2 linked regions of the Daphnia pulex genome follow. The protein of the gene in region 1 purifies or fractionates together with the protein of each later gene. This does not show direct contact. Links are inferred from orthologs where the notes say so. Each region holds a gene or a part of one and is shown on either strand. Other genes may lie near its edges. The genes, in order: probable cleavage and polyadenylation specificity factor subunit 2 and pre-mRNA 3'-end-processing factor FIP1-like.

What was found.
Region 2: the proteins of probable cleavage and polyadenylation specificity factor subunit 2 (region 1) and pre-mRNA 3'-end-processing factor FIP1-like purify together in Homo sapiens (affinity purification with mass spectrometry; 7 studies listed by BioGRID and IntAct, with this or other methods). This does not show direct contact. The link is inferred for Daphnia pulex from reciprocal best matches to the Homo sapiens genes CPSF2 and FIP1L1.

The regions. Positions count from the first base shown.
Region 1 is NC_060028.1:937,408-941,729, reverse strand, and holds the start of probable cleavage and polyadenylation specificity factor subunit 2, read left to right. Parts: upstream 1-1,430; 5' UTR 1,431-1,566; coding exon 1,567-1,889; intron 1,890-1,949; coding exon 1,950-2,041; intron 2,042-2,102; coding exon 2,103-2,604; intron 2,605-2,663; coding exon 2,664-2,911; intron 2,912-2,980; coding exon 2,981-3,321; intron 3,322-3,390; coding exon 3,391-3,595; intron 3,596-3,662; coding exon 3,663-3,832; intron 3,833-3,899; coding exon 3,900-3,989; intron 3,990-4,058; coding exon 4,059-4,196; intron 4,197-4,260; coding exon 4,261-4,322. Other genes in the region: distal membrane-arm assembly complex protein 2-like, read right to left, coding at 290-609, 674-1,253. UniProt on the Homo sapiens protein: Component of the cleavage and polyadenylation specificity factor (CPSF) complex that play a key role in pre-mRNA 3'-end formation, recognizing the AAUAAA signal sequence and interacting with poly(A) polymerase and other factors to bring about cleavage and poly(A) addition.
Region 2 is NC_060020.1:2,901,552-2,906,007, forward strand, and holds pre-mRNA 3'-end-processing factor FIP1-like, read right to left. Parts: upstream 2,915-4,456; 5' UTR 2,842-2,914; coding exon 2,755-2,841; intron 2,691-2,754; coding exon 2,567-2,690; intron 2,437-2,566; coding exon 2,228-2,436; intron 2,162-2,227; coding exon 1,925-2,161; intron 1,867-1,924; coding exon 1,654-1,866; intron 1,566-1,653; coding exon 1,320-1,565; intron 1,258-1,319; coding exon 1,145-1,257; intron 1,082-1,144; coding exon 935-1,081; intron 863-934; coding exon 655-862; 3' UTR 568-654; downstream 1-567. Other genes in the region: pre-mRNA-splicing factor syf1 homolog, read left to right, coding at 3,178-3,219, 3,288-3,436, 3,521-3,644, 3,713-4,137, 4,211-4,343, 4,409-4,456.

The sequences.
Region 1 (4,322 bases):
CCCCGTCCTTAATCCAAATATTGTTTAAGAGTTCGCCAAGTCCGCTAAAATTGTGTCATGTAAATTCGGTCCTCTTCATCTTTTCGTAACTACGTTCAATATTTTTCTTCTTGATTCAATTCTTTTGCGATTTGGAGAGAAAAAAAAAAACACCCAACCCGTTCATATTAGCCTTCATGTCTTTTTTTCCCAGTTAAAAGATGGAATAAACATTAACATTTATGTATTGATTCATAATAATTCCTCAAGAACAAAAATCGGCAAATGACTGTTGAAAGAACTTTACATTTTACTCGTGGGCCTCGTCATTTGTCAATAAAGACTCATCGCAATAAAGAATACCTCGGATGGTTAATTCAGGCAAAACGTCCTCAAGCATGAGGCATACAAGTTCAAGATTTTTAGCTTCCGGGTGACCGCCAACCAGAAGAGTTTTCAGTTTCTTCATCTTACTTAATGAAGCGATACCTTTATCTGTCACCAGTGGACAGTTTCGAATATCCAGATATTCCAACGTGTCACAAAATTCGCCGGAAATCCTGTCCAGGCACCAATCGTCAATACGGGGACACGACTCCAGGCTCAACCATTTGAGCTTCTCCATGTTTTCTAAAAGAAATGTCAAGGTTATGTGTTGGTTTACATTTTTTCATGAAACAGGATATTAATATACTCATGTTTTCCAATCCTTCATAGACAAGAGTCATTTTTGAACAGTCAACAGCTTCCATTTTATAAGATTCCAAGTAAAATCTGGGTAAATTCGGTATGATATCCGAATCAGGGTCTTCGACAATCCAGTCTTTATGGCCATAAAAGCGAACTTTGCCACCTCGAAAACAAATAAAATGACCAGTGGCTATTTCTGGGCCAAGAAACTCTGCTCTTTCTTTGACGTACAACTGTGATCTAACGAGCTTATCTTCCTTCCAATCACTCCACGCTTTTTTAACTCCATACGGCGAGAATTCGATCGCGTTAAGAACACTGATTACTTCAATTGCATAGTTCTTTTGACTGGAGAATAACTGAAAGACGGTTTTCTTGTTTTCAGCATACATTGCTTTGGGGAGTTCATATGTTACGCGATCCTCTTCTTCCTTCTTTTTCTCCACCTCTGCCTTGTCATTACCTAGTTTGGCAATTTGAGATATACCGGCCGTCGGTCTTGTGTTCGATGTACTGGTACATGATCTTCGGAAATGTTTAAGCGATAGCCTCAGTTGAGTTAAACGAGAATAAGACATTGCCATGGATTTATTTTTTCTAGTTACTGTACCGATAACACTCACTATACACACAGCTGGACTTTTTAACGAGTTTTTATTGTGAATTTTGTGAAAGAAATTGTCTGCTAGACGAGCAGCATTGCATGATACACTAATCTGGCCAATCCCATTTATTCTTTGAATAAAGATATCAGGCATCGTAGGATGAAACCAAGCAGACATTCCAATTTCGGTTATTGAGAATGCGATATGTTCCTACATGATTAATAGAGGAACACGTCAACAACAATCCAATTCAACTAATTTACTCATGATAAACAATCCGCAGTAGACAAATATGACGTCTATCATCAAGTTTTGCGCGCTTTCGGGCGCGCTTGACGATTCGCCACATTCGTACCTTCTCAAAGTTGACGATTTCACTTTCTTGCTGGACTGTGGATGGGATGAAAAGTGTTCAGAAGGATTTATACATGAACTAAAGAAGCATGTCAACAAAATTGATGCAGTGCTTCTATCCTATCCTGATCAGCTGCACTTGGGAGCTTTGCCATATGCAGTTGGAAAACTTGGACTAACATGTCCAGTGTATGCAACAGTTCCTGTTTACAAAATGGGTCAGATGTTTATGTACGATTGGTATCAATCCAAAGACAACATGTAAGTACATTGATTAATTCAAATTTCAATTCAAGATGACTGACATTTGTATCTATTCAGGGAAGACTTCGATCTATTCACTCTGGATGATGTTGACAATTCGTTTGACAAAGTTGTTCAGTTGAAATACAGCCAAAGTGTGCCTCTCAAAGGTATAACAAGTCCTAATATTTCATTCAAGTTTTTCATACTGAAATTACTACTTGTTTACAGGAAAGGGACAAGGATTGATCATCACACCCCTTCCAGCAGGGCACATGTTGGGAGGAACTGTGTGGAAAATAGTAAAAGATGGAGAAGAAGATATCATTTATGCTGTTGACTACAATCATAAAAAAGAACGCCACTTAAACGGTTGTGAGTTGGAGAAAATTCAGCGACCGTCTCTTCTCATTACCGATGCGTATAACACCCTTTACGCGCAACCCAGAAGGCGAAGTCGTGACGAAAAGCTCATGACCAACATTCTACAGACTCTTAGAGGAGGAGGAAACGTCCTTGTTGCTGTCGATACGGCTGGAAGAGTTCTCGAATTGGCTCATATGTTGGAGCAACTATGGAGAAATCAAGAATCTGGCTTGAGAGCCTACAGTTTGGCTCTTTTGAACAATGTGGCTTATAATGTCAACGAGTTCGCCAAGTCACAGATCGAATGGATGTCAGATAAATTAATGAAATCCTTTGAAGGGGCCAGGAATAATCCTTTTGGATTCAAGTATTCAATCTAGCATTTATAAAGTTTTAGAAGTAATATTAAAGCAAATTGTTCTTTAGATATTTGCAGCTGTGTCATACATTGCCAGAAGTCCTCCGTATTGCTGGCTCAAAAGTTGTTCTCTCAAGCTGCCCAGATCTGGAGTGTGGATTCGCCAGGGATTTATTTGCCTTATGGTGTTCTGATGCAAGAAACTCTATCATTCTAACCAGCCGGTCAGGACAAGGAACGCTGGGCCAGCGGCTACATGATCAGCGTAACTTGAAATCTGTCACGCTCGAGCTTAAACAACGAGTCAAACTAGAGGGTAAGCTAATTTGCTTTTGCGGACGCAACAAACAAATCTAATCTAGAACTCCATTAATTTTTTTTAAAGGTGCGGAATTGGAAGAATTCCGTAGAAAAGAACGCGAAAAAAATATTTTATCTGGGATAAAAATAAAAGATCAGATAGCGGCGGAGTCTAGTGAATCTGAAGACGAAGTCAAGAAAGGCCGACATGATATTGTTGTCCGGTCCGACGATAAAACGACAGGAGCAGTGCAACACTTTTTTAAAAGTTCCAAGAAACATCCTACCATGTTCCCATATTTTGAAGACAAAATCAAATTCGACGAGTATGGCGAAATTATCCGCCCGGAAGACTACGTCATTGCCGAGTCGGAAGATCACGAAATGGCCGATTATTCGGTTGAAAAGCCTAAATGGGAAGAAGAGGTATGATTTTTTGTCATTTTTAACTTCCAATGCATCGCTTTGAGTCTCATGATCATTTCTTTCGTTTAGCCGGAAGCAGAGTGCCCTACCAAGTGCATTTCTACCACAACGACCCTAGCAATCAATGCAAGCATCATGCATATTGATTTCGAAGGACGATCTGATGGTGAATCCATTATCAAACTGATTGAATCGATGAAACCGAAACGAACCATCGTCGTCAGGGGATCATCCGAATCCTGTCAAGCACTGCAAAATTTGTGTCTTTCAACCGGTAAAATTGATTTTAAGGCAGAAAATGAATATGCTAACCTAAATTTGTTGATATTTCTTTTATTAAGGATCATCTGATAATAAAGCATTTATAGCACGAAAAGGGGAAACAATAGATGCAACTATTGAAAGTCACATCTACCAAGTGAGGTTGAAAGACTCTTTACTTTCTTCACTTTCATTCGGTAAAGCCAAGGATGCTGAAGTCGCTTGGATTGATGCAAGGCTAACTTATCAAGTAAATCTTACAGTTAATCTTAAAATTGCTGGGGAAAAATAAGGAGTAATTGTTTTTCTTTCAACAGGCAGAGGACTTGAGGGACTTGGACGATAAAGAAAATAATTCGCTCCGTAAAGAACAAGCTCCGCTGTTAGAGCCTTTAGAACCTAAAGATGTAAATAATACTTTATACTTAAATAACGTAACAATTGAAAATAATTTTGAATGATTTAATCTGTTTTAGATTCCTGGCCACGAAACATCGTACATCAACGAACTAAAATTATCGGACTTTAAACAAGTACTTGTGCGTAATGGTATCTCGTCCGAGTTTATCGGTGGTGTTCTTTGGTGTTGTAACGGTAACGTTGCACTGCGTAGGGTAAGATCTAATATAATTAATAATTGTGATCAAATCATTTAACGAAATTTTATCGCTTCTACAGAATGAATCGGGTAGAGTAACTCTCGAAGGCTGTATATCCGACGACTATTATCGCGTCAGAGA
Region 2 (4,456 bases), on another chromosome or scaffold:
TTTGTCCCTTCTTTTCTTGTGTAGCTCTCCCCTTCCTACAATCCCTTGGTTTTTGCGTCAGTTATTTCCTGATTTTGGCTTTTATTTCGACCTTTATTATTAGAATGTATCCTTGTAAACGCTGGTGTTATGTATTGAAATTACGAAATGCTGTAAAAAATATCACTAGTGCTCTTTCCTCCCCTATCCCACCCCCCTTGTAAACATGATTCATGTACAAAAAAATCGTCCCCTCCAGAATTCGCTCTTCGACATCCCACATCCGCTTCCTTCCTCAAATCCTTTTTTTCTGGAAAATCAACGCTTCTCTCTTTCAATCTCTCCATCGAAAAGACAGTTTTCCTTTTTTTTAATATTAAATTCTGTGGTTGGAAAAAAGACAACACCTCCATATGTATTTCCGTAATAGCACACACTCTTTGTGCAACCGACTTTACCCTCTTTCATTTTTGAAAAAAAATACATCCCGAATATATGCGTTGGAATCTTTTCTTTTTGAATCTTATTCGATGGGCTGAAATAAATTGTGATTAAGACGAATAACTCAGGAAAATCAACAAAAATAGGTAAATGAAAAAAGGAGTGTATTTTTTTAAATTGGGCCAATTGCGCAAAATTTAACAAAGGCAGGGAGTGAAATCCGAGTATCGAAAACTAATCAGACGAGCTTTTGCTTTTACTTCTGTCCCTCTTTGAGCGCTTGGAGGAACGCTTATGAGAAGTGGGACTCCGACTCCGACTTTTACTGCCTCGGTGACGACGTCTACGATCACTACGGTCTCTTTCTCCTCGGTCACGATCACGATCTCTTTCCCGGTCACGGCCACTTACACGCTCTTTGTCCTTATCCGAGCGTCGATCCCTGTGTAAGTTGAACGAAATATATCAATTGCATTTTCAGAAGAAGCTCGTCAACGTTTGATTTTCCTCTTACCGTTTGTCGCGATCTCGGTCTCTATCGCGGTCACGATCCCTTTCTCTGTCTTTGCCTCGATCCTTTTCCACTTCTTTTTCTTTTTCTCGGTCGTCTTTAGGGGAGCGACTGCGCGAGCTACGGCGCCTTCGACTGCTGCTGCTTATCCTATTTGCAAGGAAGAGCTAATCAAATGCTGTACGGAGATCGAGTACCACTTATATACAGTACCGAGATTCTTCTCCAGGAACAGGAGGGGTCCCCAGGCTCTCTCTTCTTTGCTTTCCCGGTGGGTTCATTCCCATTGGTAGTGGTATTCCCATAGGTGGTGGTCCTCTCCAGTCCTAAGAGGAAAAAGTTATTTTTATTTTGTTTTGTTTTCTGTTATGGTCTTTAAAATCCTTACCGAAGATCCCCACTGTGAATCCTGAGTAGGTTCGTATTGGTAATAATCATCGCCAGGAGCTCCTGGGCCAGCCATGAACTCATTGGCGTAGGGATCAGGTACTATAGGTGGTGGTGGTAACATCATTGGTGGTGGAATTACTGGTGGCGGCATACCAAATGGAGGAGGTAGAGCCATATTTGGAAAACCAGGAGGAGGACGTGAGAAATCGATCGATACGGGAGGTTTCTCCACAGGAGCTTCAGGCTGATATTAAAATGAAATTTAAATAATAAACTTTAAAGTTTTTTGGTTGACTTTGGATGAATATTTTATTAAGGATACGGGGCCTTACCACTTCGGGAGGTTGCTCCTCCATAGAAGGAGCAGGTGAAACGCCTGATTCTGGTCGGCGTGAAGATAGATTCCCTCCACCAATGACATCAATGGCACCAGCCATTTTGCGTGCTGGCGGAGGGCCTGCTTTTTTCACAACCACTGACCCCGCATATTTTGAATTTTCGTTAACCACTGATATCGGAATCGCTTGGGCCGGGGTCGCCATCATCTGAATCAAAAAATAATAATATCGTCTTTGAGCTTCATTTGTTTACGTATTTTATTACCTTGGGTGGGGGTCCTAATCCAAGGCTAGCCGGAACACCAGCCCCAGACTCCATACGGGATCGCCTTTGTCTCTCACAATATGCTTGCCACGTTATTTCATTGAAACCGTAATTAAAATAATCAGTGATATCAGCACCAGGCTTCCTCCAAGGTTTATCTTCCAGCGAATCCAAACTAAATTCATGTGCTGGTACACCGTTAATCGCCATTGAGCCTTCGAACTCTTCCACAGTGAACTTAAGATAAGATACATATGTTAAAAACAAACTCTTGCATCAAACATGATGTAGCTCAATGTATACTTTGCTCTTTTCCCCCAATCCTTGTGCCGTTGTTCCAGCTGTTCCTCTTTTGACATTAAAACCAGCATAAGCTGCTGGGCCAGATTTTATGTCACCAATCGTGATTTGTACGTCATCATCACTTTCATCATCCTCATCGTCATCATTGTCTTGATCTTCATCTTGTCTCTCATCCTTTTCTTCGTTAGTCTCTGCAGCTTCTTCTGGATCTTTTACAATAGAAAATACAGGATGTTAAAACTGTTATGGGAAAACCAGACAAGCGATTCAACACAGGGAAAGAGACAAGGGATAATAGTTGAAGAACTTTTCCATAATTAAAAATGTACATGAAATTACCATAGCCTTCTCCAGCGTATTCCGTATTTCCGTCATTTCTGTCTATGGCAATATGATCTTCATTTTCGATTTCGTACATTTCTCCATTACCGGTGGTGTCTTGGTCGATTTTTCCATCATCGCCCTGAAAAAAAAAGAGACAAGTATCAATTTCAGTTGACGAACAATAATTTTTTTTTTAAACTCACGTATTCATCTGGTAACTGTTCCGAGGAATAAGGGAATTGTGAATTAGAATTATCTGCCTCATCTGGGTGCCGGACAGTGTCGGCCATATTCGGTTGTAAACAGCAGAAGACCCCACTTCAATTTAGGCCTGAGGGGACAAACAACAGCGAATGTACGCTTGTGGCTTGTCGGCTGTCGCTGTTTCACATCAAACGCAAAAATAAGGTATTTTTACTATAAAAACTTGTGATAATCCATTTTTATAATGATCTCGTTATATAAAAAGACGCTATTAGGGACAAAATTCAACTTTAATTTGGGTTAGACGTAAGTGTGCAACTTGGCAACACTTCACCCGGCAGACGTGCATTTACGTTTGGTTCGTAAATTTATTTGTTAAATTTTATTTGAGCCGAGTGGCTGCGAGAAAATTCATAAACAAAATGGATAAAAGTATAGGGAAGAAAACTGGAGACATTGTTTTGGTAATAATACATTGTTTTATATTGAAGTTGACTAATAGGTTTTAACAATATGTCTTCTGTCTTTAAAGTGTGAAGAAGATTTAGCGTATGAAGAGGAGATTCTACGGAACCCTTACTCTGTCAAACATTGGCTTCGCTATTGCGAGTTCAAAAAGGATGCCCCTCCTGTTGTTGTCAATTTGATTTATGAGAGAGCTTTGAAGGAAATGCCTGGCAGGTTCGTTTGATTGGTTCTTGTAGTAGTACATAGTAAATAAGTTTGTACTCATTTTCAACTATCCACATGTTTGTCTCTTCACAGTTACAAACTATGGTACAGTTATCTCTGCCTAAGAAGGAAGCAAACTAAAGGTCGCTGTATAACAGATCCACTGTATGAAGATGCCAACAATACTTTTGAAAGAGCATTGGTATTCATGCACAAGGTATCTTAAATGCCAATTATATTATTATCACACATTATTAAATACCATGTTTTTAATGAATACCATAGATGCCAAGGATTTGGATGGACTATTGCAAGTTTCTGACTCTTCAACAGAAGATTACCACTACGAGAAAGGTCTTTGACCGTGCTCTAAGAGCCTTGCCAATCACCCAGCATTCCAGAATTTGGCCCCTCTACTTGAAGTTTGTTAAAATGCATCCAATACCAGAAACAGCTGTTCGAGTTTTCCGTCGTTTTCTTAAACTATCGACCGAAGATGCAGAGGAATTTGTCGATTACTTAAAATCTATTGACAGACTTGATGAGGCAGCTGTTAAACTTGCCCAGATTGTGAACAAGGACAGCTTTGTTTCGAAGACAGGAAAATCAAACCACCAACTGTGGAATGAACTGTGCGAACTTAATTCGAAAAATCCCAAGCAAATTAAAAGTCTTAACGTGGATGCAATCATTCGAGGAGGTCTTCGACGGTGAGTGTCTGGAAAAAAATTAAATGCAAATATTTTTACAAACATAGGAATAATTTACTGGATTCTTATGTAGGTACACTGATCAACTTGGCCAGCTTTGGAATTCCCTTGCCGATTACTATATTAGAAGTGGTTTGTTTGAAAGAGCAAGAGATATTTACGAAGAAGCCATTCAGACAGTTACTACAGTACGAGACTTCACACAGGTAAAATACTTTGTGGTCGTCTTATTTAATGCGAATCAAGTTAACGTTTTTCTGATTTACGACAGGTGTTTGATGCCTATGCCCAGTTTGAAGAGTTGAATTTGAATCATATG